Tamandua tetradactyla: one gene and its partners. The protein of the gene in region 4 interacts with the protein of the main gene of each other region in a biochemical or structural test. Links are inferred from orthologs where the notes say so. Each region holds a gene or a part of one and is shown on either strand. Other genes may lie near its edges. The genes, in order: GUCY1A2, MAS1, ADRB1 and SNTA1.

Region 1 (7,477 bases), on a different chromosome or scaffold from region 4:
TGATTGAGACAATATTCCATGATATGACCACTGATAAAACTCAAGCTTCCCTGGCAAGCACAGGTTCTCCTGAAGTAGATAGTATAGGAGTTCAAGAAAGCTCACACACTCAGAACTAGAAGTTCCCATCTAAGAACGTCCTTGTCATGGCAATTCTCAAAGGTTAAAAAAAATTGTCTGGCTCTACTGAGAGAGAATAAACAGGACATAATTCATCTCTATTGTCTCATTTAAAGAGGTTTAGAACTCTGACAGTAGAGAATTAATCTAATGGAACTTTTTGAGGCAGTGTTCTAGATTGTGAAAACAAAGAAAATAGGATGGGTACCATTTAGAAAAAGTCATTGCTTTGAAACTAATCTATTTTCTTTGCATCACTAAATCTATTGATGGCATGGTTAGCCAATGAGAATTTATTTAGACATGGATTCTGATACTGAAAATGTGTACACTGTATTTACCCGTATGTTCCTAGCACTTCATCTAACACACCCTTTTCAAAAGAAAAAAAAAAAGAATTACAGCATGGAAAGTATATATAACTGTTCTGTATGTGTGTGTGTGTGTGTGCATATGCATGTGTGGTGTATATATATACAATCGTTGCAATTATTTTCAAATTCCTCATCCTGAAAACTGTTTTTATCCAACAAAAAGCCAAATTCATTCAAATTTTATTTAGAAAGGTATCAATCAGAGACTATTTCCTCACTCTAAATCTTGCAATAAATACACTAGTTCAGTTTATTTTTTTCTACTCTTCATATAAATTGTTGAAAATAGTCTTAGGCCAAATTGTCATGATCAGAGGCACCATTACATTTGTAAATTTTGGTTCTTAGGACCAAAGAAACTTCAGGATTAGAAAAAAAAGACTAATCAATATCTTTAGTAAAATCACTGTGTCAAAAATGAATCTGTTGTACTGAAATAGCATAATACGCAAATGCTGCCTTAGGTACTGACTCCTTGTGTTCAACAATTTTGCAACAGCAAAGAGTTCCTAAGACTAGTTGCCTGGGAAATATTTGCAGTGAAGAATAGCAAATAGTAGCCAAATCATCTTCTTTTTTTTACATGGACAGGCACCGGGAATCGAAACCGGGTCTCTGGCGTGGCAGGCAAGAACTCTGCCTACTGAGCTACCGTGGCCCGCCCTAAATTATTTTGAGGTTTGTTTCCTAGGTTATCAATAAAAGAAGTGGGGGAAAGGTTAAATTAAAAGGAAAAAATGCACAAGAAGAGGAACATGACACCGCTCACGAAGAGCATTCTTCCTGAACGCCAGGACCACAAGGACATTGTTGGGATTGTCTGGTACCAGGATCCAGTCTCAGGGTCCCACTCCTCCTCAGATCCCTCCCCCAAAAACGCTAGCGTACTTTCAAAGGGGAGACAGAGAGTAGCTAAATCAAGATCGATGTTCAGATACGTTTTAGAAACGTGGAGGAAGAAAGAGCCCCAGTGTGGGCAGGTAAAAGTGCTGTCAGGAATTATAGTCCTTGCATCCAAGGTCAGGGTGAGGATAAGAGGCAGACAGAGGTTTGACAATGAACAGAGAAAATGAAAGGTGCAGGTTGGCAACATTTCCACCTCCTTCACATTCTGTCTGCAATAGAATGGATGCCTAACACTGAGCTCACTTAGGGAAAGCCTGGAACAGAGGTCTGGCATTCCTGCAGACGGTGAAAGTCAAGGGTGGCTGACATGTCTCGGCAGGAACCACGCCAGCGGGCTCTGGAAGGAGTGCCTAGAACCAAGGAGTCTGGTGTACACTTGGGACTGCTAAAACAGATATCCCCAAATGAGCACGAGTTTGAAGACACGTAGGAAAGCACTTATTCAATCAAAAACTATATATGACGGGCCTAATATAAGGAAGGCATAAAGAATTGAGGGGGAAAGCACTGGAAAACCCAGGGAAGGGGGAGTGAAGGATGAGGTAGGGTGCAAGAAGTCCCCGCGAGGTTTAGAAAACCAAACACCAGTTTAACCAGAAATGAAGACTGGGGGTTAAATCAGTAAATGCCCAGTGAGTTATTAAAAACAACAACAATAAAACAAAACTCTGAGGTGGGGGGTGGTGTGCAAAACAGTTCAGAGGGTCCTTCAACAGAAGATAATTCATGAAAGTGTCCGCCAGGCAGTTCCAAAAGATTTGAGAAAAGCGATGCAACATAGTATGCCGATAGCCTGTGGAATTCAGTGTCAGAGAAGGTCCAGCTAAGACCAACAGAGTGTGGGAAAAAAAGAGAGGAAGCGTATCCTGGAAGTGCTGGGGCTCCTTTGGGATGCTGGAAAACAGAGATGAAAGACCTGGAAATGGGAACTGCGGGACAAAGTGACTGGGAAAGTTTGAGGGAAAGAAAACAGGTGGGTGCGAAGGAGCACCGGGGCCGTCAAGGGTGACAATGATGAAGTAGGGCGCAAGGCTGGGGGAGGGCAGTCAGGCACCCCTGAATCCGCAGACCCGGGAAGGGAAGAACGGAGGCTTCACTCCTTTCCGGTGCTCTAACACCCCTTCCACCAGCGCCCTGGGACTCGGCTCTCGCCCAGGGTCGGAGACCCCAGGCCCGGCGGGGCGAGGCCAGGCCGCCCCCCAGCGGTCGGGCTCTGCGCTTACGCCCTGGCTCGCCGCGCGCCAACTTTCCCGAGCCCCTTCCTCTCTCCCGAAGCGCGGCCCCTCCTGCCGCCCCCCGCTCACCGAGGGGGCCGTCAGGCGGCTGATGCTCTCGCCCAGCGAGTCCAGGTTGACCCGCCTCCGGCGCTGTGCCCTCCTGGCCCCGGCCGTGGCGGCGGCAGCGGCGGCGGCGGAGGCGGCGGCTGGGAGCGGGGCGACGGCTGCGGCCGCGCTGGGCTCGGGCGGCCCGGGCGGGCTCCGGCTGCCGTTCCAGCAGAGCCTGGACAGGGGGCACTCCCCTTCCTCCTCGGGGCTGGTCTCCAGGTAGTCGGAGCCCAGCGAGCTGAAGGACTCGGACGAAATCTTCCTTCGAGACATGCTGCCGGCGGTTCTGCGGCGGCCGAGGCGGTGGCGGCGGGGACGCGGGCGGCGGCGGGACCGGCGAGCCGCGGCGTTAAGCGCGTCGGGGCCACTGGGCGCTGCGGTCGCGCTCGCCGGGGCGGGAGTCCCCTGGGCCGTGAAGCCCCTCGAGCCGACTGCTCATCGCGGGAACTTGGGACGCCGCCGCACCCTGGGGCCCGGGCTCGGCGGCGGCGCCGGTCTGGGCTGGGGGCCGCTGCCGCCTCTGCTGCAGCTCGTACGGCGCCGCCTCAGCGCCCGCCTCGGCGGATCGCCATGCGCTGTGCGCCGCGCTCGGGTCGCGGGGAGGCTCGGAGTGTGCGCCCGGGCGGCCGGGCGGCGAGGGTTGCGGCCGGTGTGGTCCACAGCCTGAGGTTTCTGCTGCTTGCGCTCCTATCTCACGCCTTTACCCTCTCTCCTCCCGCCCCTCTCCTCCTGCCTCTCCGCTTGCTCGCCCGCCTTCCGCCTTCTCCCTTTATTCCCCCCACCCCCAAGCTCTCCCTCCGCCGGTATCACGTGTCGCCAGCATACTCATTGGGAGTCTCTGCCTCTCCTATCGCCACGTTTCAGGAGCAACGAGGACACTTCGTTGCAGTCCTCTGCGCGCTCTCCCCGCTCCCGCCGCCCTCTGCTCCACTAAGGAGCGCCCAGCGGCTCTGACCGCATGGAGGGGCCCCAACCCCAACGTCCTACTCCACAGCCCCGGAAGAGGCGTCCAGGGAGCAAACGGGCCCGGGACTCAGGAGAGGAGAGGGGCGCAGGGCCCAGAGGCAAGGGAATTCCCCCTGGAGCCACCTCCTGGCAAGCCTGAGGACGCTAAGTGGAGGGTTAGGGTCCTTGTTCGCCCTTTCCCCGCCTTCCTCCGAGTTTAATTAGGAAGTTACGCGGCGCAGGCGAAAGGCCTAGCGCCGACCCAGGAGGAGAAGCTTACAGAGGAAAGGAAGAGCAGGGGCAACATGTTGGCGCTCCTCGGGCTGGAACAGCTTGCGGGAACGATTCCCTCCCCCTTGTTCCCCTGCGGGCGAGGCCACGTAGCCGCGCAGCGAACCCAGAGATGGGTGGCAGTGTGTGAGGACAGCGACTGCTCGGGCGACAGCCCTGTTGTTGAGCCTTGGCGGGGAAGGAAGCTCGGGGCGCCGGGCTTCTGCCCGCGGCTGATGGGCTCCGCATTAGTGCTGGACAGCTCCTCTTGCCACCTGCAGCGGCTTTTGGCCGCGTCGCGGGTGGGGGAAGTCCGGCAGTTAAGCTACAGACTTCGCTAGCTAGGATCCGGCCGGCGGTAAACGAGGGAGTGATTCCTAATCTCTCGTCTGCTGGACCGTTTGCGCCAAATGTACGATGTTTGCACTTGTCTGGAAATGCTGCTCAGAAAACTAAGGAGAGTGGGAAGAAAGGCTTTTCAAAGCCCAAGAGCAGAAACGCCACAGTGAGCACATCTCTTGCTCCGAGTTTGTGGCGAAATTGCTTCATTCCAAAGCTGGCACCCTTGCGATCTCAGCGCCCAGCCCCTCTGCTCTGGCTTTAGCCCCAGAAAAGAGTCGCATTTCTCTAACCTTAGGGTAAGAGATGGGAAGAAGGGACAAATAAGAGTATACTAAAAGAGTGGTCCGAGGCTTCACTTCCCCCTGCTACAAAGCAGAAGAGGGTCCCCCTCAATATCCCCCGCGCCCGGAAAGAAAAGTTCAGCACTCTGTCTTTAGTTCCCCGGCGACACAAAAACCAATGCACTTTCTAAAGGACTGGTCTTTCCAGCTGAAAACAGGTGGGTTTATGGATTGAATTTGTAAAGTTAAAAACGAAAGACAGAAACAAGAAAATAAAAAGAAATACTTTTGCTGCATCTCCATCCCATTTCGCTTTCAACTCTAAAATCTTAGCATTGTTAATGAAGACCCAAACAAATGTAATTTTTATCTAAGGTGCCCTTTTATACTTTAGAAAAATCCAAACTGATTCAGAGAAGTGCCTTATTCCCAGCTTAAATAGATGTAAATGGTATGAAAAGGTATACTTTCATTTATATGCTCCCCTTTCTCAGCCTACTAAGTGTCTAACCGCATAGCTAGTTTTTCCTCTTAGCAGAAAAAATTTGGTATAGGAGGTGCCTCATTGAAAGTACTACTACTAATAATAATAATAGTAAATTTGTATTGTGTTGCGTATCTCCTGTAGATTTCCTGTGACTTCAATTAATTCCACAGTCATTTGTTTTCACTGGATTTTAGACACAAACTACACCTTTGTCATAAGGAATAGTTTTCAATTCTGCTGAAAAGTTTCACTGGCCTTTGTTTCTGAATTACAATGGAAGAGTACTTTGAGAATTACATAATTCCAACCTGGGGGAAATTGTTTAATATTCTTGCTGTGCAGTATCAATCATGACATAATAGGTTGTAGTTCCTACTTCTCTTATTTAGTAATGATTTAATTGTCAAGTTCTCCAGAATCATAGAATTTTAGAGCTTTTATTAGAATATTAATTAGCATATGCCCTTTGTATTCTTTCAATAAAATATTATTGCACCAAAAAAATTTTATTATGGTAACGGTAAATAACCTTTTCATTGAACTTAGAACTGGAACTAACCGTTCCAACTTATGTTTCAAAGTTAAAATTAGAGTGCAAGGCAATGAGTGTTATTTGCTTCTAAAAGTTCTAGGAGGTCCAAGAGTCTTCCTGTTTACACTGAAAGTTTATTGCCAGAAAGAACTCTGAACCTATGGGACATTTTTTTCTTTGTGTGAACCATTTGAACCAAAGACTTTTCACAGACGCTAAACAGATAAAATAATCTTAAAGCTTTCTGTATGAATTACTCTGCTTTGATCATGATTTTCCCACCGATTTTTAAACTAGAAACATATGGAGGCCTAGCTCTAGATAGTACATCGTCCACATTTCTTTCAAGGGGTTCCTTTGTATTTCTTTTTGGGAATCAAGTTTGAAAGTTCTCAATATGAGGAGCACTATATTCTATACTTGAATTAACATTTTTAAAGGAAGAATAGCATATCCTCTATTTTTTATAAAAGAGCCTTAGAGTTGGCAAAAGAAATCCAAGCACCTTAGTCAAAGAGTAGTCCACTAAAAATGAATAACCTGTGCCCAGATTTTAGGAAATGAAAACCCAGGCCCACAAATCCAAGCCCTGCTGGGTATATTGTGTCATACAATGAAGTCCTTAAAACCCAGTCTGGTATTGGGAAGAAAAATTCAGGAATGTACTTGGTTCGTGATGTCAGTGAGGGCAGTTGAGGACTCAGTTCAGATTGATCAATATTGGGAAAGACTCCTTAGAAAGCAGATATACTATATTAGTCAAATTGGTGACTATTATTCCTTTAAACATAAAACAACTGTCATACATACCTCACCTTCATATAAAGCATTTCTATTCAATAAGCTTTTTTCACTTACATTGTGTCATTTAATTTTGTCTTCCTTCTTCACAGAGAAGTAAAGAAAAATTACCTCTGTCAAATTCAAATAAAAACTGCAATCAGTCTTCATTCCCAAAGTCTTTTCATTTCAGAGTACCAAACTCTTTCCTAATTTCTTTTCATCCAAGTCTCCAGAAAAAAAAAACCCTGCAATATCTGCATAAGTGCCCCCTGGAGCAGAGATCTTCCGTGATATAAGAAGACTAAAGAAATTGCCCCCTATAGTCAGTCTTTATGAAACCTGGCAAATCACAGGGATTTAAAGGTAACGTCATAATAAACTCTCTGAAGAAATATTCTTAACTAGAGCAAGTTTTTCTGGATTCCTAACCTAGAAAATCACACACATAAACACACACACGTGTTCCTCACCTGCAGGTTTAATCCTGTGTGCATGTTCCCTGAATGAGAGCTGCTTCCACCTCCCACTTTAATACCCCTGTCTTTTAAAAGAGGGCAAATGTACTTTCTTGGTAAAAGATGGTTACCAAAAAAAAGACTAGAACTACAAAATTATGCAAGAATATGAAACATGGTAAGACTGAATATTAAGAATAATATCAAAGTGAAAATAGCCATATATTTTGTCCATAAATAAAGAGATGCATGGAAGTCAATGAAATACATCTTCCTATGGTTATATATCATCATAAAACCATCTTCAAGGAATAGGGTACTTGCTGGTCAGAAGGAGGAGAAGAAGAAAAAGGAGGAGGTGGGGAGAAGGAGAGAGGGATAAGGGCAGGGGTAGGGGTAGATATAGACAAGCAGATGATGATGAGGAGGAGGAGGAGGAAGAAAAGAAACAAAAACAAAAACCACACTTAGTAGAATTTGTACCGAAAAAATACTTCTAAGTAGGATGGCTGCCTCCTTTTTTTACAATTATTTTTATTGTAGCAATATAGACACAACTCAAAAATTTGCATTTTAACCACTCCCAAGTGTATAATTCAGTGGTATTAATTATATTCATGATATTGTGCTATCATCACCATCATTTCCCCAATTTTC
Region 2 (6,391 bases), on a different chromosome or scaffold from region 4:
TTCTTCCTTACAACAACCCTGCAAGGTAAGTGCTACTACTATGACCATTTTATAAATGAGGACACGAGGCTCTGAGAGGCTAATTCCCTTGCCTGAGGTCACACACAGGTGGTAAGCATCAACTTGACCCCCCAAACCCCTGTTTTTCCCATTACATTGCTTTGCTTCCTCAAGTTCCGACAAACACCATTAGCTTTTTGGGAACACATCTGTAAATCTTCCCACTGGAGGAGTTTTTACAGTTCATGGGGGGGGGGGGGTTGCTGCCAGAATTGCTGAGGAGCAACAGAAATGGGGTTTTCGAAAGATACAGAAATGATGATAGAGATCTGACAAGAATTTAGGCATTTCCAGAGGACACGGCACAAGGGTACAATCTCACCATTGGCATCTCATGTACATGTCCTTCTGTATCATATTTAAGAGATACTCACATTGTGTCCCAAAGCACAAACTGAGAATTGTCAGTGTTCCTCTGGTTCTGTCCACAGCCTCCCTCCACCCGCCCCCTGCTCAGACGACAGTCTCAACGGCGATGGTGTTACTGTGTTCCTGGTGCCGAGGCTGTGTTTCGTCTTTGAAAGCCCTGGTCAGGACCACTTTTAAGGACTCCTTGAACCTCTTCTTCTTACTGCTGCCCACAAAGAAGTAAATAAAGGGGTTGGCGCTGCTGTTGATGGTGGAGAAGAGAAGAGAAATGTGGTGGAGGTTCCCAAACGTGGACCAATACTCATAGTAGAGCAGGTACAGGAGCCGCATGGGCATGGCGAAAATGAAGAAGATGATGATGGTGACCATGATGACCAGGTAGAGCTTCGAGGAGTGGGACGTCCATGTGCTCTTCCGGATCTTGATCACCAAGATGGTGCTGGACACCACCATGAGTGGGGTAAAGACCAGGAAGCTCAGCACGGCTATGAAGACGATCACTGCCCTGCAGTCGCTTCGAGAGTGGCTCTGTCTTCCGTTATCAATGCACATGACGTATTCCATGGTGGTCACCAGGCAAGAAAGTGCCCACAGGAGGGCGCAGACGAAGGCTGACTGGTGTTTGGGGCGATGGCATCGGTACCAGATGGGATACAGGACCGACAGGCACCGCTCCACACTGATGGCCGTGAGCAGGTAGAGACCCGTGTTGTAGCCGAACAGGAATGTCACCGACAATGTGACAATTGTGTAGTAATAGCCAGAAGAGAGCTCGTAATCTAACGCATAGTCAACGGACAGGATAAAAATGCAGAAGAGCAGGGAGATGTCGGCGATGGACAGGTGTGTGATGTAGACCGTGAAGGGGTTCCGCCTCATCCGGAAGCAGAGGAACCAGAGGAGAATCCCGTTTTCCACAAACCCAAGTGGGGAGATGCTCATAATGACCCAGTGCACAATGGGGATTTCCTGGCGCAGGGCCCCCGTGGAGGTGTTCCTGGGGGCCGAGGCGTTCCCGGGCTCCTCAGCCACACACGAGGTGACGTTTGACTCACCCATGAGAAGGCCTGGGGCTGGGGCGCCTTGGTTAGCTTCCTGTAAACAGAGTCGGAAGAGGACCATCAGAAATGGGGAACTGGCACAGAAAGGGGAATTTCGGTTACCCATGACAACCCTCATGTTATAAAAAACAAATGTTTTAAGAGGCCGTACAATTCTCTTTCACCAAACAAGAGAACTTCTATAAAGGCCTTTTTGGACACCCACGCCCCCTGCCAATAACCCTGACCTGGAGTTATTATTACTACTTATGGCTCAGTGCCACAAAAGGATACAGCAGAGCAAGGGGTGTCCCTTTCCAGTTCTGGTCCAAGCTTCCTGAACGGATTTTTTGAAAGTTATTTCATCTTCTGTATCTCCATTTCGACCCCTGAGGAACCAGGGTGACTGCTTTGGGATGTAATTCAAGAAACACATATCGGCGCAATGTTGTCATTTTTAATACATTAAGTGTCATAAGCAGTGAGCAAATTATGAAAGGAAATGAGAATTATGTTTAGTAGTGCTTCAATATTTTTAAAGTGTGAACAATTAAAACATATTTATTTCATATGGTCTCAGTATCTACAACAAAGCTGGGCACCTACTCAGACTAGGTATGCTGTGCAAACCAACACTCTGCACAACATATGGCAAGTGTTAACGAGATGTATTTACATTTCCACATACCGTAGACAAGGCTGTGCAGGAAAACAGAAAGAGAACATTATTGCAGACATTAAACATAAGACTGACCCAAAACCAAGAAAAATGCTAAATATTTGAAGCTGCAAAGCAAAATTTCCCAGAAACTTTCCCTCATACTTTACTAATTGTAAAATAAATATATGCACACACCCCACCCTGCTGTAATATGACAAACATACATAAACCGCTTTCTACCATTGGAGAAAGGAAAAGAGAGGCAGCTGCCAGACATCATTTCCCCTATTCCAGGGCTATTTGTTGTCCTTTGCTTTTTTTGGAACCTTGCAGACCAGGGTCCCTGCTTGGGCAAAATAATTAACCTTTTGTTAAAATTAGTTATGTGCCTTTTCCTCATAAGGTCGCCTGAAGCTGGTACAGTACATAGATGTGACATTTTTGTTGGAGTTTGAATGTCTCTGATGATAATAAGCATTTCCAAAATTGGATCATCAGATCCCCAGTATTTACAGAGCTCCCAGTTTTGATGTCTGTGCTGGTTTGAAGATGTCATGTACCCCAGAAAATGCGATGTTCTTTTTATCCATGCTTGTGGTGCAGACCTATTGCAAGTGTAACCTTTTAGTTAGGTTGTTTCAATTGAGATATGACCCCCCCCCCCCCAATTCAAGGTAGGTCTTAATCCTTTTGAGAGTCCTTTATGAGACAGACATTTGGAGAGAAAGAGAGGATGCCATCAGAATTGGAAGCTGAAAGCAACAAAACCCAGGAGCAAAGGACCAGCAGATGCTGGCCACATGCCTTGCTATCTGACAGAAGAACCCTGGATGCCCGCAGCCTTTCTTCAGAGAAGGTATCTTCTTGTTGATGCCTTAATGTGGACATTTTCACAGCCCTAAAATTGTAAAACTTGTAACTATATAAATCCCCACTGTTAAAAGTCAACCCATTTCTGGTATATTGCATTCCTGCAGCTTTAGCAAACAAAACAATGTCCCTACAACTGCATCTGAAATCTGAATCACCAGGGCGGACTTCAGGTTGGTGAGATGCATAATTATCTCCCCAGAGGTGTGATTTCAGGAGACCAGAAATGTCCCTTGGCAAGGTACTGGGCATTATTTTCACTGGGGCAAATCTCCTTTCATTTCATAAGTAGACCAAAGATATAGACCACCGATAACTTCAAGAGTCCTCCAGAAGGAACGATTTCAGAAGACCATGACATGGCTGGTCAAAGACCTGCTGGAGACACCAGGCTCTGTTAGAAGTTTCTAGGTAGGACAGCAGCACTCCCAGAAGGAAGGAAGAAGAACGTTTCCTCAATTCATCCATCAAGTATGTATTCAGTGTGATTTCACCAGGCATGGTTCTAGGCACCTGGGATACAGCAGTAGACGAAATAGACAAAGCCCCGACTTCTTGGCGTTTATATTCTAGCAGGCAGGCAGTTGATAATCAAATAACAAATAACAACAACAACAACAAATAAATATGGTACATGTCCGATTGTAGTAAGTGTGACTAGAGAAAAGTAAAGCCGAGTTAGAAGGATAAAGGGTAACAGGGATGTGGGGTTTCTATTTTATACAGAGTGATGGGGAATAGCTCACTAATAAGGTTACACATGGGGCAAGACAGGAAGGAAGTGAGTGACATGCAGATTCTTGGGGAGCAGTGGTCCGGGCAGGGGGAACAGAAAGCACAGAGGTCTAGATGCAGGGAGACGCCAGACATTTTTGAAGAAGAGGTAGAAGACTGGTGTGGCTCCCGTAGAATAAGCAGGAGCTGAAGCTTAGGCGATGTGTTCAGAGAGGTATTGGGGGCCAGATTCATGGGGCCTCATGGCCACTGCTCCTAGGGAGGTGGGAAGTATGGTGTTCAGATTAGATTCTAGGCCATGGGGGCAGAGAGAGGGAGATCAGAAGGGAGGTGACTGCACTTACCCAGATGCTGGTGGCTGGGAGCAGGGCATGGTGGCGGAGGGTGTAAGATGGAATTTCAGTCTCTCGAGTGAAATAGCAGATGACAAGAGCTCAGCTGGCCCCGCATCCTCCCCACCCCCAAACCCTTTCCTCCTCCAGGCTCCTTGGTCATTTTGTGCATTATTCAGCTCCGTGGGCAGATGACTGGGATATTTGAGGCGGGGAAGGGTGAGGACAGTAGAAGGGTAATTGCTGCTAGCTGACAAAACAGTCTAGCTCAGAATAATTTCATTTTGGCTCGGTGATCCTTCCCCAACAGCAGAGCAAAATCTCACGCGGTTGAGTCCTCCAAACACGGCCAAGACGGGGCAAGCATTTGAACCACAAAATTCATCACTGGGAATGCTTTGCTGCCTCTGTGCCAACCCAGCGTAGATCCACACAGACAAATCTTTTTGTTTGTTTGTTTGTTTATGGAGCTCTGTTGTCACACAGCAATAGGATTTGCAGCGATGCAGGTTTACCTGGCATTGATGGTCCTGGGCGGAAGAAGAGTTCATCCTGAAGGCCTCGTGTGCCTCCCAACGTGGCCAGGAAGACAGCGGAGGAACCTCAGTTGGCAAAAAAGTAAAAGAGAGACTGTAGGTGACAGCATGGTTACTGGAGCATCACAGAGCATCTCCCATCCTCTGTCCCTTCCCCTAAAAGAAATTCCTGGGGAGAAAGAAAGAAGTTGGAGCATCCAAATGCAATTGGGTAGGACTTGAGAGTCCAAAACATTTTCACTTCCATCCCAGCTTGGAATCTTTAAAATTACCCGGGGAGGCTGATAAGGAAAGGGTTCTTGTCCCCATTTTACAGGGGGATTAATAACGAGGACACACTCGGGGCCCCCTGCATTGCACCACTCCAAAGGGCTCCACAACAGCCTTTCCTTCACTGCGTAGGGCATTCCCGGGGCCCAAGAAGCAGCCACACCCGCCGGCAAGCTCACCCGAATCTTGACGACAGAGTTGTGCAGAGATCCAGGTCTCCCGACTTCTCACTCAAAGCTGAGCTGGTCTCCCAGTTAAGACCTTACCTTTGATTGCCTCTGTGTGTAATGCTTTCCAGTTCTCCTGCTTAAGACACTGAAGGCACCATACACCCTGGTGTCATGGGGGATTTTTTTTTTCATCTCTCGACTTCTTTCCTTTCTAATTGCGCATTTGCCAACCATGGGGCCAGATCACTGCGTGCCCTCTGCATTCAAATTCCCCTGTGACTTAAACACACAGTCTGCAGGTACCTATGAACACTACACCCGACCCTGCAAAAGGATTTGTGCACTGAAAAAAAAACTGTTCACCCAAGCAGGGCACATTTTATGGGTTGTTTAATCCTAAAATGGGGGTATCTAGTTTTTAAATGTTATTGCCTCTTTTAGTCTAATTGTAAAACTAATGTATATCCATGGAAGAAATTTTGGAAATTTTTAAAAGGAAATCATGAATAAAACCACTACTCAAAATTAGCCTGATTTAACATTTTGGGATATTTCTTTCCAGTCTTTTTTCAATGCCTTCACACATCTTTTTCAAAATGGAGATTGCATTTTATAATCTGCTTGGGTATCCTGCTTTTTTTATTCAACATGATATTGTAAACATTCCCTTAGGTCTGTATATGCTCTAAAAACATGGCTTTAATAGACAACATTTGAATGTACCGCAATTTATTTTTTTCCATAATTTATTTTTAATAAATCCCCTATGTTGGACTGAGTGCTCCTGCTTTTTCACCTTTTTTAAAATTTTATTTTCCTCCATTGTTTAAAATACAAAACACTGCGATGTACTTAATTGGATGCAAAATTGATGCAAATCTCTAATTATTTCCCTAAGACATATTTCTAAAAGTGGAATTGCTTGATCGAAGGATATAAACATTTTCCAAAATATTAATGCAGATTGGCAAAGCATCTTTCAAAATTAACTGAACCAATTATAATGCCACTGACAGTAACTGAATACTTTAATTCAAAGCATTAATGTTTTTCCTCCCCACAAAATCTCCATTTTTTTTAAATTCCTAAATTTGATAGATGATAAAAGGGTGTCTTGTTTTAATTTGCATTTATTTGCTTGATAATGAAATTGGACATTTTTTCATATTAAGGGTTATTTGTGTTTCTTTTTTGTGAATGTTGTTCATGTCCTATGTTTATTTCTTTTGAGTTGCTAGAATTTTTTTATAAATATAAAATCACTCTGTTACATAAGTTACAAGTTGTCTTCCCCAGGAGCTGGGGTATTTTATAGAAGATGTAAGATGCCAAACCATGGAGTTTTCTT
Region 3 (7,396 bases), on a different chromosome or scaffold from region 4:
ATACACAATCCCCAAAATGTTACTTAAGTCAAGTGCAGCAGATGGAATCTTGAAAACGCCTACAAGTAGTCTAGAATACTTTAAATCCGGCTGTGAAAAATTAGGGCGAATCTGCAGCGCTCAGTAGGGGCAAGTATATTTGGTCTAAAAGCACTTTGCTATGTTATCGAGTCATGAAAAGCTATTCAAAGAGCTATATCGGAAATCCGATCTGTATTTTGAGCAAAACACGCTGTCTTTTCCACTATCACTGACCCCTTACAGGCACATGGTACATAATCTTGATTGTGCTTCATTGGTATTTATTGCACATGGACCAATTCCTCACACAGTAGTTAGTTGCACCAGAGTATAAATACTTGGCAAAATATGCAAGAGGAAATAGAATTTACACACAAGTGCTAAATTTTACCAACATATTCACGTGGGCAATTAGACATAAAAAAATTAAAAAAAAAACCCTTAAGATAAGTATAGTTATAATATGGATACAATTACAGTACCATGATAAAAGAGTATAAAAAGATATTTTACCAATAAATCATTAGCTCAATAATATAATAGACAACAGAAGTAGAGTTTTAACTTTTAGCTTTTAAGATGCACCCCCCTTTAAAAATATTTAATTTCCCTTTGTGCAAATAACATCTTCTGTGGACTTTGTAATTTCTAACACTGTGCAAAAATGGCATTTTGAACTACTCCTTGTTTTATTTTTTATTTTTATCCAAATGTACGGTAATCTGTTTTGATATTAGAACTGTTTCCCCCATTTTTTTTTCTTTTCTGTCCTGTCTTCAATTGACAATCACATGTTATGGAGGCTCAGTGCCTGGTCCTTCCGACTAATATTGATACATAAATAGGCTGTTTAATATAAACAAGTCTTTTAGCTTGCTGTGCAATATGCACAGCGTGAGGTAGAAATCCCAGAGCCTGACCCCCGAGGCACGGGGGACAGCAAGTTTGCCCTACAAAAGGAAAGCAAGGTGAGATTTGTTCCAAGAATAGCTTATTCTTGAAACTTGATTTTTGCATCCATCCTTTCTCTTTGCTTTAAGAACAGGGGATATCATTACTTGAGAGTTTGAGAGAAAGTTCTCTAGAAAGCAAAAAGGAACATGTTCTGACAAACTGTCTCACGCCCCTCCCCTCCCCCTCCCGGGCCATAGCCGGGTTGACTGTGCTCTTGTTCCTGAGAACAGATGGAAGCTAAGTTGATAGACTTTCATCCCTATCCCTACAGCTTCTCCTTTCCCCTCCCACCCAATTTGCACTCAGGTCTTTGCAGCAGGTGTGACCACCTGCGAGGGGGAAAAAAATCTAAGATGCATTACAAGCACAAGCAAAAGAAGGCCGAACCACGAACAGAAAAGAATCCAAGAGAAATCAGCAAGCCACTTTCCCACCCCTCCCAAACTTTCCTTTTTGTGCAACGGTCCGTGGCTTTTCTGTCTGTCTCGGATGATTCAGACGAGGTTTGTGGGCTTTGAGTTCACCTGCCTTCGGTCTTGAGTAAACACAGACCTTTTCTTTTCCCTGGGAAGCCATTCGGGAACGCTGGGTCTTTCCTCCCCCGGGGTGCAGACTCCACGTCCCGGCTAGAGTGGCGGGGAGCGGGCCCTACACCTTCGAGTCCGAGGCAGAGCCCGGGCGGCTCGGCTCGTCCAGGCTCGAGTCGCTGTCCATCGCCGCCCCGCCGTTACAGCCGGCCCAGGGCTCCAGCAGGCGCGCGGGCGGCGCGGCCCCGACGTCGTCGTCGTCGGAGGCGGCCCCTGGCGACGGCAGCTGCCGGGTCACTGCCAGGCAGCCGGGGGTGCGCGGCCGGTCGCCGGCGGCCGCGTGGCGTCTCCGGGCCGCCCGGCGCGCGCTGCAGAGCAGGCCCTGGAAGGCCTTGCGGAAGTCCGGGCTGCGGCAGTAGATGATGGGGTTGAAGGCCGAGTTGGCGTAGCCCAGCCAGTTGAAGAAGACGAAGAGGCGGTCGGGCACCAGGTCGCGGTGGAAGGCCTTCACCACGTTGGCCAGGAAGAAGGGCAGCCAGCAGAGCGTGAACACGCCCATGATGATGCCCAGCGTCTTGAGCGCCTTCTGCTCGCGTAGGGCCACGAGGCGCGAGGGCCGCCGCTTGCTGGTGCGTCCGTTGGCCAGAGGGGCGGCGGCGCGCGGGGACCCCGGCGAGCGGGCGGGCGAGGCTGGCGGCGCGGGGCCACCGAGGAAGCGGCGCTCGCAGCTGTCGATCTTCTTCACCTGCTTCTGGGCCTCGCGGAAAACCCGCAGGTACACGAAGGCCATGATGCACAGGGGCACGTAGAAAGAGACCACGGACGAGGCGATAGCGTAGGCCCTGTTGGTGACGAAGTCGCAGCACTTGGGGTCGTTGTAGCAGCGGCGCGCCTCTTCGCCCTCGGCCCGCCACCAGTGCATGAGGATGGGCAGGAAGGACACCAGGGCCGAGATGGCCCACACGGTGCACACGAGGGTCCGCGCCCGCGCACGGGTCAGCAGGCTCTGGTAGCGGAAGGGCGACGTGATGGCGAGGTAGCGGTCCAGGGCGATGACACACAGGGTCTCGATGCTGGCCGTCACGCACAGCACGTCCACCGAGGTCCAGAGCTCGCAGAAGAAGGAACCGTATTCCCAGCGGCCCCACACCACGATGGTGGCCCCGAACGGCACCACCAGCAGCCCCATGACCAGGTCGGCGCTGGCCAGGGACATGATGAAGAGGTTGGTGAGCGTCTGCAGCCGCGGCGTCTTGGCGATGGCCACGATCACCAGCACGTTGCCCGCCACGATGAGCAACACGATGAGCGCCATCAGCAGGCCCATGCCGGCCGTCCACTGCTGTGACAGCGGCGCGGGGACCTCGCTCAACGTGGGCAGCGGCGACGAGGCGGGCGACGCGGGCACCAGTAGCCGCGCTGCAGTGGCCGCACCGTCGGGGAGCGGCGCGGCAGACGACAGGTTGCAGGGCTCGGAGGCGCCCAGGGCGAGCGCCCCCGCGCCCATGCCGAGCTGCGGAGGCCGGGGGCGGGGTGTGTGGCGGGGCTGGGCCGTGGCTGGGGGAGTACCCCAGAAGCCGGGGCGGCGGGGCTCGCGGACGAAGGTCGCGGCCAGGTCAGCGCAGCCGCGGCGCAGGGCCCGAGGCATCGGCGCGGGGCGCCTTCTCCGAGGGAGCCGAGCGTTGTCGCCGCCGCCGCCGCCGCCGCTGCTGCTGGAGCCGCTGCCGCTGCTGGAACGACCGCCGAGACCTCCGCATGTTTCTGAGCGCGCCGGCCCGCTCCTCCGGCACCCAGCACCCACCCCACCGGCTCCCACTCCTCCAAGCCACCCCCGGGGCATCGCGTCAAGCTCCCGCAGCCAATCGAGGCAAAGGCACGCCCCTATCTGGTCCTCCCCAGTCCCCGGCACCTCCCTCTCAGCGCTTTGGAGCGGCTCGGGGAGGGGGAGTAAGCTGCTGAGCGCTGTGCGAGCGCCTTGCTGGGGTTTGCCGGGTCCTGCGCACGCCTCGTCCCGCACCGCGGGCCCCAGCGCCCAGTTTCCTGCGCCCCCTACAGCGCCCAGCTCCTGCGCGTTTCTCAGCCGGCTTCTGCGGCTCCCTCTCCCTCCAGTATTCCGCTCCCGGCTGCGTGCGATTTCTGCCTCCCGCGTTCGGCTTCTGTCTGCACTCCCGCTGCCTCCCGCCCATCCCTTCAGTCCCCCCACCCTCCCGGCGCGTCCTTTACCTCCAGCGCCCGGGTCTCCCGCAGAGCATCGCGCGCACTCCCTTTAGCCGGGAGGGAACCTCCGTGTTCTTGAAGCGCCACAGCTCCTCCTCGGACAGTCTGTCCGCTGGGGTTGGAGGAGTTTGACTGCGAGATTGTTTCTCAGACAACCCAGATGGGTGTGTGTAAAGCCCTTTCCTTGCCAAAAGGGGACCTTGCCAGCCTGCGTCCTGCCAGCTCGGGGAATCAGAGGCAGGTGTAGGTGGTTAGAGGAAACTTTCCAGCCGAACGCGTTAAGCAAACCGCTCATCTGTCGGAACGCTCTCTGGCGCTGTTCTTGCAGGGATCTTCAGTCGTTTCAGTGCAGTAGATGCAGAAAGGAAGCTAAGGTTTCTGCTCCTAACAGCTAACGCTGAGGATCAATTGCAAAAACACACACTCCCCAGTCCCAGCTAATGAATGTGTGAATATGCCGCAACAGTGTGTGTCGGTAATATAGAGAGATTTAGAGAAACAAATGTTGACATAAAAAGTAAATGGCACCGCCGTGAAGAAAGAACACATTTAATTACATTTCAGACCTTTCACATTCAGTAATGACACCTGTATTTTGTTTTTTATTACGCATGTGATTTCATATTGGAGCTGAGTCAATACAAACAAAAAGGAACTGCCAGTTTTGGTTGAAATAATGACCTGAGACTTCAGATTTCTTGGTCTGAGCCATCTTTTCTCCTGTGCCCAAATTCCAGATTCTCAAAACTCTAGGATTAGTCCTGGAAGGATGAGAGAAGGAAATATGTAAATATTCAAGATGATTGAAAAACGAAAGGATTTAAAGCTGTAACAGTAGGTTTTGAATTAGCAATTGAATCAGCTTGACATGAATGAGCTGTTAGCTGAGCTGTGTGGGGATTATATGAAGGGACAGACAGGATTGTCACCAATACAAGCCGGAAGGAGACTGCAAACCCTTTCTCTAATTTGGATCTGGTAATGTCCTCAAATTAAAGATCTTTAATTAAATCTTTGAGAAATAATCAACTTCTAGTTTTCCATGTAGGGGTGCATGAAAATGGTATTCAATGCTCACACATCTTTCTAGCACTGAAATTTTAAAAACAGCTTCTGGAAGGAACATCAACATCTAGACCAAACATATTCTTACCTTGCAGAGAGATGCTGATTTCTACAACTATCCAACTCAAGAGCAGAAAATAAAGCTCATTAACTTTACAAAGTCAAGCAGTTTTTAACTACTTTCTCCGAAATCCAAGCATATAAATTTGCTTTTGATTCAAATTTGATATTCAGAATGTTATAACCAGGGAGTGATTTATTTGTTTATTCACCCCTGCCCTAGTACTGTCAATCTGGGGAGACTGAAGAAGGGAAACAAGGAAACAAGAGGGGCTGGAAAGAGGAGAGGAACAGGCTTGAATTCTTAGTTACCCAAGTCTTTTCAAACTGAGTCTCCCCTTCAGGCACCTTTCAGAACCTCAACGGACAGTCTCAAAATAGCCAAGGAATTGGAAAGGGTTGAAATTGATGCTGCCCAGGAAGAGGGTTGAGTGCCTGGCTGCTGGGTGAGGGTGTGGGGAAAAAGCTTTCCATTGGGTGCCATCTTTTTGTCAAGTGGTGCTACCAGAATAGAGAGTGTCAACCTTAAGTGCCCCTGAAGGGTGAAGGAGCTGCATTTCTGGAAGAGATAAGGCCAGACCTTGGTTGTGGACTTGCAGTGAAGAACTGTGCAAGGTAAGGACTCTCCTGCCTAAGTAAATGTATAAGCACACCATGTAGCAACTTGAATTAGTTTTCTTTTAAAATAAAATCTTCCCAGTGACCTTTAATTCTTATATTTCATGGCTTTTTTGATCTTTTTTTTTTTTTTTTGCTAGATTTTTTTGTGCTTAGATGAAGACACAAGATAAAGAGGAAAAGGTTCAGCGTTTCAACTTAGACAGGTATTACATGTTTGGGGGCTTGCCTCTTCAAAATGAATAACTCCTCTATCTCCCCATTCCCATCCATAGCTGTTAAAGAGAATCTGTTCCTAGGAACCCACATATTTGGCAATACTTCAGAATATAGCAAAGCACTCCAACAATAATTCCAATCAGCACACTTAAGAAATAGTGTACTCCTTCCTCCATATTCCCTGCCTCCACCTCACCAGACCTATCCCACCGCCATCACCTGTATTTGAACTTGTGGGTTCTATTTGGCCTCCCCCCTGCATTGAATCCAGCATATCATAGTCTAATTAATGTTCTGAAAGTACTGCTTTGACTAAGATGCTTCTCGGTTTAGAAACCTAACTTCTCAACTTGGCTTTCAGAGATCTTCACAGTCTAGCCACAAACTTCCTTTCCAGCGCTCTCTCTCATTAGAACGCTCTACATCAGCTTAACTTGCAGTTTCCTAAGCTGCTCAACCAAATACCATGCAGTGAGTAGGCTTCAACAGTGGGAATTTATTAGCTTATGGTTTGAGGCTAAAAGAAAGTCCAAATTAAGGCATCATCAAGACAGTGCTCTCTCCCCAAAGACTGTGGCATTCTGGGGCTGGTTGCTGGTGACCCTAGGTCCTTAGTTTGTCACATGGCAAGGCATAGGTGGTATTTTCTGGTCTCTCCCTTCTCTTCTGGGTTTCATTGATGTTCAGCTTCTGGCTGCTCCCTTTGTGACTCTCTCTCTGTCTGAATTTCACTCTGCTTATAAAGGACTCAGTAATAGGATTTCAGAGCTGTCCTCATTGAGGTGGGCCACAATTTAAATGAAAGAACCTCATCAAAAGGTCCTATTTACAATGGGTTCCACTCCCACAGGAATGCATTAAATTTAAGAGCATGTTTTAATGGGCTACAGACAGCTTCAAACCACCCCAGTACTCTTTCCTTTCCTGCATCTGTGCTTTTTCTCCCTGGGTTCCTTCCACCAAGAATTCCCTCTTCCATGTCTGCCTCAGTGAATTCAGCCTTCAAGATCTGACTAAGGTCTTCTCCTGCTATCTTCCCTGACTACTGCTTCTGGAAATGGTCTCTCCTTCCTCTGTCCTACAATGCTTAACTATGATTTTTGCCATTCAGGAGGCAATTAGCAATATATTGCTTTTTGAGATCTCTTATATTGCTATCTTGTGTAATTTTTACATGTTTTTCTCTTGCTTTCTCATATGGATTGTAAGTTCAGTGAGAGCCAGGACTAGCCCACCCATTTTTATAGCCCCTCAAATTACTAATATTTATTTTTATTAATTAATATTTAGTACTGGTTCACAAATATTTAATATTTAATTTAATAATGTATATTCATACTTATGAGAAATAATTGTTTTGATTGTTAAAATATTTACTCATGCTTACCATTCATAATAATAAACCTTTAGCATACTTGATATTTTCATATAAGCATTTCGAAAACACTTTACAAATATAAGAGAGGCTCATGAGAAAAATTTTTGTCATACCTATTTAGTAATGAATGAAGTAAGGTATAGGCAAGGGGCTTTCTAAAGGGGCCAATACGAGATCACAGTAATAAAAAGTATTACCTTATCTTCACAAACGATCAAGATGAAGGGAATTTTTCCCTCTGCTTTCATTTACGGTATTATATACCCAGCCATCTCTGCCCTGGGAGAATAGCTAATGACTTGAATCTGGTGTCAAGTTCTATATCAAATTAAAAGTC
Region 4 (7,036 bases):
ACACATGCACACCCACTTTTCAGGGCCCTGGGGACCTCAGTGCTTACCTTCTAGCACCACCTCCTTGCCTGCCTTCTTAAGGACCTGCACTGCCTCATCGTGGCTGGCAGAGGACAGGTCTTCCCCATTCACGGACAGGATGGCGTCCCCCACAAAGAGGGCCTCAGTCTGGTCAGCTGCCAGGCCCTTGAAGATCTTGGAAATGAGAATGGGCATCTTGTTCTCCCGGCCCCCTACACAGGCACAGAAGGAGAAAGAAGGTGAGGCAGATGCTCCAATGCTTAGGAGTCGTGTCAAGGCAAAAGTATTTATTGAAGGCCTCCCAGTGCTGGAAAAGGAGCGGGGGGAATGTGGAAGACTAAAGAGAATCTCAGAACAAAGGAGCCTTAGAAGCTTGGGACACTTAGCTAGTAAGCCGCAGGGCCAGCATTTGAACCCAGTCAAATGTGGGCCCTCGGATATCACATTCCTTGTCCATCCCCAGAGATGAGAAGATGAAGAACTAGCTCCCCAGAGAAAGGAACTCATTGTTACAAGGTCACACGCCAAATTGGTGGCAGAGCTGGGGCTGGAACACTCTCCTGACCTCCACATATACTCAATAGTTTGTTCATCATGCTGCACAGAACTTAAGGCCTAGGGGGAGGAAGGAGTTTCTATTTATCTCTATCTTCCCCCTCCTAAAACAAGGGATTCAGTCCAGTTTGAAATATATGGTCATTCCTATCTGCCCATGGCGACAGGAGCCCATGGAACTTGCACTTCCTCTGAAGCCTCCTAAAAAGACCATCACCCCCATCTGGAAGTATGCAGCTTGAGAGTAACTTTATGTGACCTTGGAAAGTCCCTGCTCTTCTCTGAGGTCTCAGTTTGTCCATCTGCAAAATGGGAGAGTTGGCACTAATGCAAAGTGTTAATAATAGGAGAACATGTGGGAATTCTGTATGTTAGGCACAATTTCTCTGTAAACCTACAATTTCTCTAATTAAAAAAAAAAAAGGAAGGGTTGACCTATATGAACTATAGATTACAACCTGCTCTGACAAGCTGAGTGTACCATTTCTGGATTGGCCCTGCTGCCCTATGCCATGCTGGAGGTTGGGAACAAGACTGGTACCTGTCCCTGGTTTCACCACTTTCCCCTTTTAGACATCTTTGGTTGGCTGCCTGGCAGTTTGCCTTTCCACATGTAAGTATCACCCTGGGCAATCTCTAGGGAGGACATGTGCCTGATAATTGAGGCTCTAATCCTAGCTCTGGAGCTAACTATGTGACCCTGGGCAAATCATTGCACCTTTCTGAGCATCCGTTTCCTCACCTGCAAAAAAATGGGATTATATTCCCTATCTTTCAACACTGGTGCCAGGATGAAGTGGCTCATGAGCCTACAGTACTGGGCACAGCACCTGGTACACAGTGGTGACAGTTGCCACCATCCCCAGCCCCAGGCTAAAGGATCTGGAGGCACCAGTGAACAGAGTTAGCACCAGGGAGACCCAGAGAGGGGACAACGTACATTCAGGGTGAAACAGAGACTGACACCCTTTTCCGTGGCAGGTAACACTTCGCCGAGAGCTGGGACCCTAGGAAGCAGACAGGCAGGACTGGTGAGCTCAGCAGCTGGAGGTGTGCAGGGAGTTTAAACACTGTGATCAGTTGCTTTAGGAGCCTCTCCTGACCTCCATTTTTCCTCTCAAATAACAGCGATAATTAACTGGGCCCCTACTATGCGCTGGCAGGGTCAGCACTTCGGACTTCTGTGCTTACAGAAATAACACAACTTTATCATTATCCTCGTGCAGTTGAAGAAATTGAGGTTCATAGATGGAAAGCGGATTGTCTTAAGTCCAGAGTCCTAAATGAGTCCCCAAAGAAAGCCGTCCACAGGCTGGGAGCTCAAAGAGGAGTACCAACTCTGTGTCTCCCCTTTCAATCCTGTGCAAAGTAGAAAGGGTCAGATCACCAGATTCAAACCCAGATGTCAGGGCTCCCTGCCTAGGCAAACAGCTGTCCCGGGTCCTCAGATTTCTGCATCCTTTCTGGCCCGTCTGCGACTCCAGCCTGTGCCTCCACCCACGGGCCCTACCCATGCACGTCCTTCCCAAACTCCCTCCACCTTGGTGTTGTCTCACGGACTTGCTTCTCCTTGCCTAAGTAGTGTCCCAGGCCTCGACCCCTTTCTCCACCCTCTGCTCTCCTGGGCCCCTCTTGTCCTTGGTGCCCGTGCTAGCTGTTCCCGCAGATCCCTAAGCCACCACATAGAATTCCCCACCCACGTTTCCGTGGTGCGCCCCAATGCCCTCCACACCTACTCCGTCGGTGACTTCGACTCCCAAAATCCCATGTCCCTGGCTCCCCACTGTACTGTCACAGACCCCAAGTCTCTGACCTTGGAGGCCCCCGTGCGCCTAGTGGCCTCAGAACACCCCCACCCCATACCCTCAAACCCAAGGCCTCCCTATTCCACGGCTTCCGTTCGGCACCAGTCCCCACGACCCCTGCGTCGTCGGCGGCCTCACAGACACTACGACTCCGTGCCCTCGGTGCCCCCGCGCCCACCTTTGATGCTGATGCCCAGCCCACCGGCGTCAGCCTTGCGCACCGTCACGCGGCGCCGCTGGAGCAGCAGCGCCTCCGGCAGCTGCGGGGGCGCCGCTCCCGGCTCGGCGGCGCCGTTGAGCTGCGAGGGTTCGGGCTCCCGCGGGGCGCCGGGCTCGGGACCGGGCTCGCCGTCGGCGGGGCTCACAGTCAGGGCGTCCTCCGCCAGACTGAGCAGCACCCGCTGCCACCGCTCGCCGCCGCCGCCGGGGGAGCCCACCCCGGCGCGCAGTTCCAAGAGCCCGGTGCGCGGGGCGCGCCTGCCTGCCGCCATCTTCGCCTCCGGGCCCCCGCGCCGCCGCGCTCACTCTGCCCCGCTGTGCCCGGCCCGCTCCGACCGAGCACCCAGGGCAGAGGGCAGCTGGGGCCCGTCTGGGCCAGCAGCCACCCTACCCCGGGCCGCTGGGGGTGGAGTCTCGAGGGGGCGGGGCTACGTGGGTGTGGCTAACCGCAGAGGGCGGGGCCTTGACACCTCGCGGGAGGCTGGGCGAGGTCAGACGCCCAAGGGAGCAGAATAGAGCTACTAGAGGGTGGGGCCGTAAGGCCCGGGCCCCGAAATAAGCCGAGGAGCTGGTGAGGAGCGGATGCCCAAGCGGAGCCGTTCAGGGGGCGGGGCTTCATACCGAGGCCAAAGGCCAAGATTCCTGTGAGGGAGACTCAACTCTGGTCAGGGCCGTCGAGGCTCTGGGCCGTCGCTCACAGAGATGTGAGCACAAGAACAAGGGAAGGACCGTAAGGCCTAATGCGAAGCTTTGGGCGTAGGAGCTGAGGACACCAGGGACAGGGCTTGAGTTTAAGAAGTCGACAGCGAGCCGCGAGGCATAACGCAGGTGTAGCTGCTAGTGGGCGAGCTTCGGAAGAATCTCGTTTCCGAGTTTGGCGCGGGGCATTTTGGCATTGGGGCGTGGTTTTGTGTGGGCGTGGCTTCTGGTGCTTGCAGGCCCCGCCCACTGGGGCTGACCTTGCAACTGCTGCCTTTAGGGCTTGGCGAACGGGTGGGCATGTTACCCAGTTAAAAACTGAAGGAGACTTTAAGAGGCTAATGTCCTGCAACTATGTGATGAAACTGTGAATTACTGATTATATATGTAGAACGGAATGATGATGTATTAAGAATGTTTTTGTCTGTTTGTTGTTATATTTTTTAATTAAAAAATTAATTTAAAAAAATAAAAAGAAACAAGGTAAAGTGAACAAAGGGAAGATACGTATGGTATTAGCCACTGCCGCTACTGATTAAAACCCTGATAAGTGGGATGGTAATGTGTGGACAAAGCAGATAATGGAAAAAAAGCAAGTATTTTAAATTAAAAAAAGCTTGTCAGATAAAACAAACAAACAAAACCTTGTAAGCCATTAATTACCTGGATGGTTAGAATTGCTGATGCAGGGGCTGAAGGAGTGGTGCTGGACTATGCTGATTGCATGAAATTTACAGAAATTAGCACCAGTCCCTTCATACAGACTGCTTTTCAGAAGTTTAATCAGCAAACTGGAAAAAATTCTAACTTGCTGACATTGGCTGCACGAAGATGCAATAAGCAATGCCCTGCTAACAGTATGTGGCCATGAAATAATCGACCCTGGTACACTTTATAAAATGGCAAAGCTGGGAAACATGGGAGACTGGAATACAGGGAAAGGAAAGGCCAAAAAGTATATATATATATGTACATTATATATATATGTATGTATATAAAATGGGAAATGGTTTCCCAAAACCAGTAATAGGATTTCCCACAGAGAAATGTTCCAAGGCCTGCTGGAAGCTAAGGTTAACCAAAAAAAATTAATGTTTTGTCAAAGAATTAAATTTTTAAAATGTATACAAAAGAAATGTAAACCAAGTTATGATCATAAAATGAGTAGTGCTCCTACTCCTGGCAAGGCAGAAGACCTGCATCCAGCTCCCTTGGTACCGCTATACCCTCACTTACTCCCTTTCTTCCAGACAAAGGATTAAGCCAAACCCCATTATCTTTGATTCCAAATTTGTGGCTCCCCTTTGGTTTAATGTTTCATATTTTTTAAACTTGAAAAAGCTGTTTAATATTATGAAACACCTTGCTTGCAAATTTTATCCGTACAGAGTTTTAAAAATCTTTATTCTGTGCCATCAATCCTTATTTTAAAAAATGTATATTAAGGTTTCAAATATGCATTAACTAAAGCATTTTAAATATTGAACATTATTCTGACAAATTCAATTTTAATAGTAATTGTGTGTGGTAAAATATTTGCTTTAAATAATGACTTAAGTATGAAGGATATAAAAGATATGCTTTTACTAAAAGGAAAAGGAGAGTAGTTTTGCCCTCACATAAAATAAATGGCTGTTACAGAATAAAAAATGTAAGACAAAGCCTGAACAAATATAATAAGTTGCCAAAGGTTTGTAAAAAAGGAAATTATGGTCAAAATCAGGGAAAGTTTAAGGTGAACTAAAAGGGAAGGTGTTAAAAGCAGTACCCAAACTCTTTAGCATCTACGCTCCCTTACCTGAGATTAAGCCAGGAAACATGGTATGGGTAAAAGACTGGGGGAAAAAAAAAAAATGGGCTCCCTGCAGCCTCAATAGGGTTGGTCCTTAATAGAAAGGTCCTTACCATGTTGTTGTAAGTAACCCTAACAGCCATCAAAGCCGTGAAGATCATCCTATGAATTCACCACTCTCAGGTCAAAAGGGCCACCACAGACAACCCCTGGGAATGCACCCCTTATCCTGAACACCTGACACACATTGTTCTCCGGGAGCCACTGCACTCCCTCTCCTTCGCAGCTGAGATCAGCTGACCAGCCCACAAGTAAGGCCTGAGTGACAATCGTTGCCCTGCTCTAGCTCACCAGAAGCAGCTAGTCAACACCCAGCTGAAGCCTGAGGAGATCTCCGAGCCCTGCCTCAGTCACCCCGGAAGCTGACTGATCTGCGTACAGCCGAAAATTAAAGAATCAACACATGGCCATCCCAGTCTGCTGGGTCTGTGGACTAATTCTCTTTTTTTGCTCTTCACGTTTGTCTTTTGTTTAGTGGTGTTAGCCCGCCTGAAAATCAGTCCCCTGGAGTTCTTCCCGAAAACCAACTTTACTCATTTGACAGAATCCCTCTTACCCAGCTAACTTCCCCCTTCCTAGCCGCTGCGCAGAGTGAGTGTCTCCATTCCTTCCCTGAGGCTAATTGTACATTTGTGTGGTGGCACTCCCCATAACCAGCACCATTAGCCTCACTCCTTTGTATCTGCTTGACATGATCATAAGCCCTTCCAAGGGGGATGATGCATGCCAGGCATGCTTCAAGACTACCTATGTTAGAAAAAGATAAGAACTATAACCAGTATTCATGCCAGGGCAGTTCTCAAACATGAATTATTCTGTATGCACCCTAAAGAAAGATGCCTAGTATGCTATAATCCCACCACACCGGGTTCAGTACTGCTATCTTCACTACTCTAGGATGGCAAAACTGTAAAGGCCTCCTGGGAACTGGGGCTAAGTTTATCTCTTGCCCAAAGCTATAAGCTAAGCCCTCACTGAAAAAAAAAAAACAAAAAATCTGGGTTCCCAAAAACATTAGACCAAAGCTGATGCCCCGCCAGCAGGTAAAGGAATCCCAAAGCAGGTGCTGGGCATAAAGGCCAGGGTACATAGGCTGTTAAAGAGACAGATCAGACCCTCTTGTGGGGGGGGGGGGCATTGCCCCTTCCTCACTTGCACACCTCACATCACCCTGCTTGGCCCTGGAAGATGGCTGGTTAGCCAAAGACGGGTAAGATTCCTCAGGGGAGGAACAACCTAAGACAGGCACAGTCACAAAGGGGCCATCAGGAGAAAATTTGAGGCCAACAGCAGCGGGGTACAAACCCTCACCACCACCCCCCAACTTTGCAGGGGCCTAAATTCTGCATGACTACATTCTTTCCACATCTAGCTCAGATTGGGACATATCAACACTTGCAGCAAAAAAAAACACACAAACAAACAAAAATGAAATATAGGTGATGCTATAACCCCTCCTATAAGTTGGGGTAAGCATCAAAGGGGGAAATGTAGCAGGCAGGCCTCTCCCCACCCACCCCCCACTCCCTGCTGCTTCTTCTGGTTCAGCTGCCTCCTCTGTGGAAAATCCCCAAACCCCCTCTCCTGACCTTCAGGAATGGGTGAAACTGCAGGCAGGTGAGATAAGACAGCTGGGATGGAGACTCCTTCCTTAAGGATGCATATGCTTCTGTGACCTAGGTTTGTGTCCTTCTCAACTTAAACCAGCCAATCATTTACCTTATCTTTAATATGTCATCCTGTCTATAAAAACTAATGTTAACCTTTTGTTCAGGGCTCAGACTTTCAGAGCTACTTGATTGAGCCCTATGGCCATAGAAAATAAAATCTACTTCCTGAAAAAAAAAGTAGGCTAATGTCCTATTCCGTTCACAATTGAGTGGTT

The links.
Region 1: the proteins of SNTA1 (region 4) and GUCY1A2 interact in a test that uses a peptide from one of them, tested with the Homo sapiens proteins (3 studies listed by BioGRID and IntAct, with this or other methods). The link is inferred for Tamandua tetradactyla from reciprocal best matches to the Homo sapiens genes SNTA1 and GUCY1A2.
Region 2: the proteins of SNTA1 (region 4) and MAS1 interact in a test that uses a peptide from one of them, tested with the Homo sapiens proteins (2 studies listed by BioGRID and IntAct). The link is inferred for Tamandua tetradactyla from reciprocal best matches to the Homo sapiens genes SNTA1 and MAS1.
Region 3: the proteins of SNTA1 (region 4) and ADRB1 interact in a test that uses a peptide from one of them, tested with the Homo sapiens proteins (2 studies listed by BioGRID and IntAct). The link is inferred for Tamandua tetradactyla from reciprocal best matches to the Homo sapiens genes SNTA1 and ADRB1.

The regions. Positions count from the first base shown.
Region 1 is NC_135334.1:35,005,909-35,013,385, reverse strand, and holds the start of GUCY1A2 (guanylate cyclase soluble subunit alpha-2), read right to left. Parts: upstream 3,021-7,477; 5' UTR 2,999-3,020; coding exon 2,705-2,998; intron 1-2,704. UniProt on the Homo sapiens protein: Has guanylyl cyclase on binding to the beta-1 subunit. Isoform 2 acts as a negative regulator of guanylyl cyclase activity as it forms non-functional heterodimers with the beta subunits.
Region 2 is NC_135337.1:63,731,709-63,738,099, reverse strand, and holds MAS1 (proto-oncogene Mas), read right to left. Parts: upstream 1,489-6,391; coding exon 514-1,488; downstream 1-513. UniProt on the Homo sapiens protein: Receptor for angiotensin 1-7. Acts specifically as a functional antagonist of AGTR1 (angiotensin-2 type 1 receptor), although it up-regulates AGTR1 receptor levels.
Region 3 is NC_135339.1:76,002,093-76,009,488, reverse strand, and holds the start of ADRB1 (beta-1 adrenergic receptor), read right to left. Parts: upstream 3,010-7,396; coding exon 1,624-3,009; 3' UTR 1-1,623. UniProt on the Homo sapiens protein: Beta-adrenergic receptors mediate the catecholamine-induced activation of adenylate cyclase through the action of G proteins. This receptor binds epinephrine and norepinephrine with approximately equal affinity.
Region 4 is NC_135327.1:19,571,601-19,578,636, reverse strand, and holds the start of SNTA1 (alpha-1-syntrophin), read right to left. Parts: upstream 3,004-7,036; 5' UTR 2,873-3,003; coding exon 2,560-2,872; intron 234-2,559; coding exon 48-233; intron 1-47. UniProt on the Homo sapiens protein: Adapter protein that binds to and probably organizes the subcellular localization of a variety of membrane proteins. May link various receptors to the actin cytoskeleton and the extracellular matrix via the dystrophin glycoprotein complex.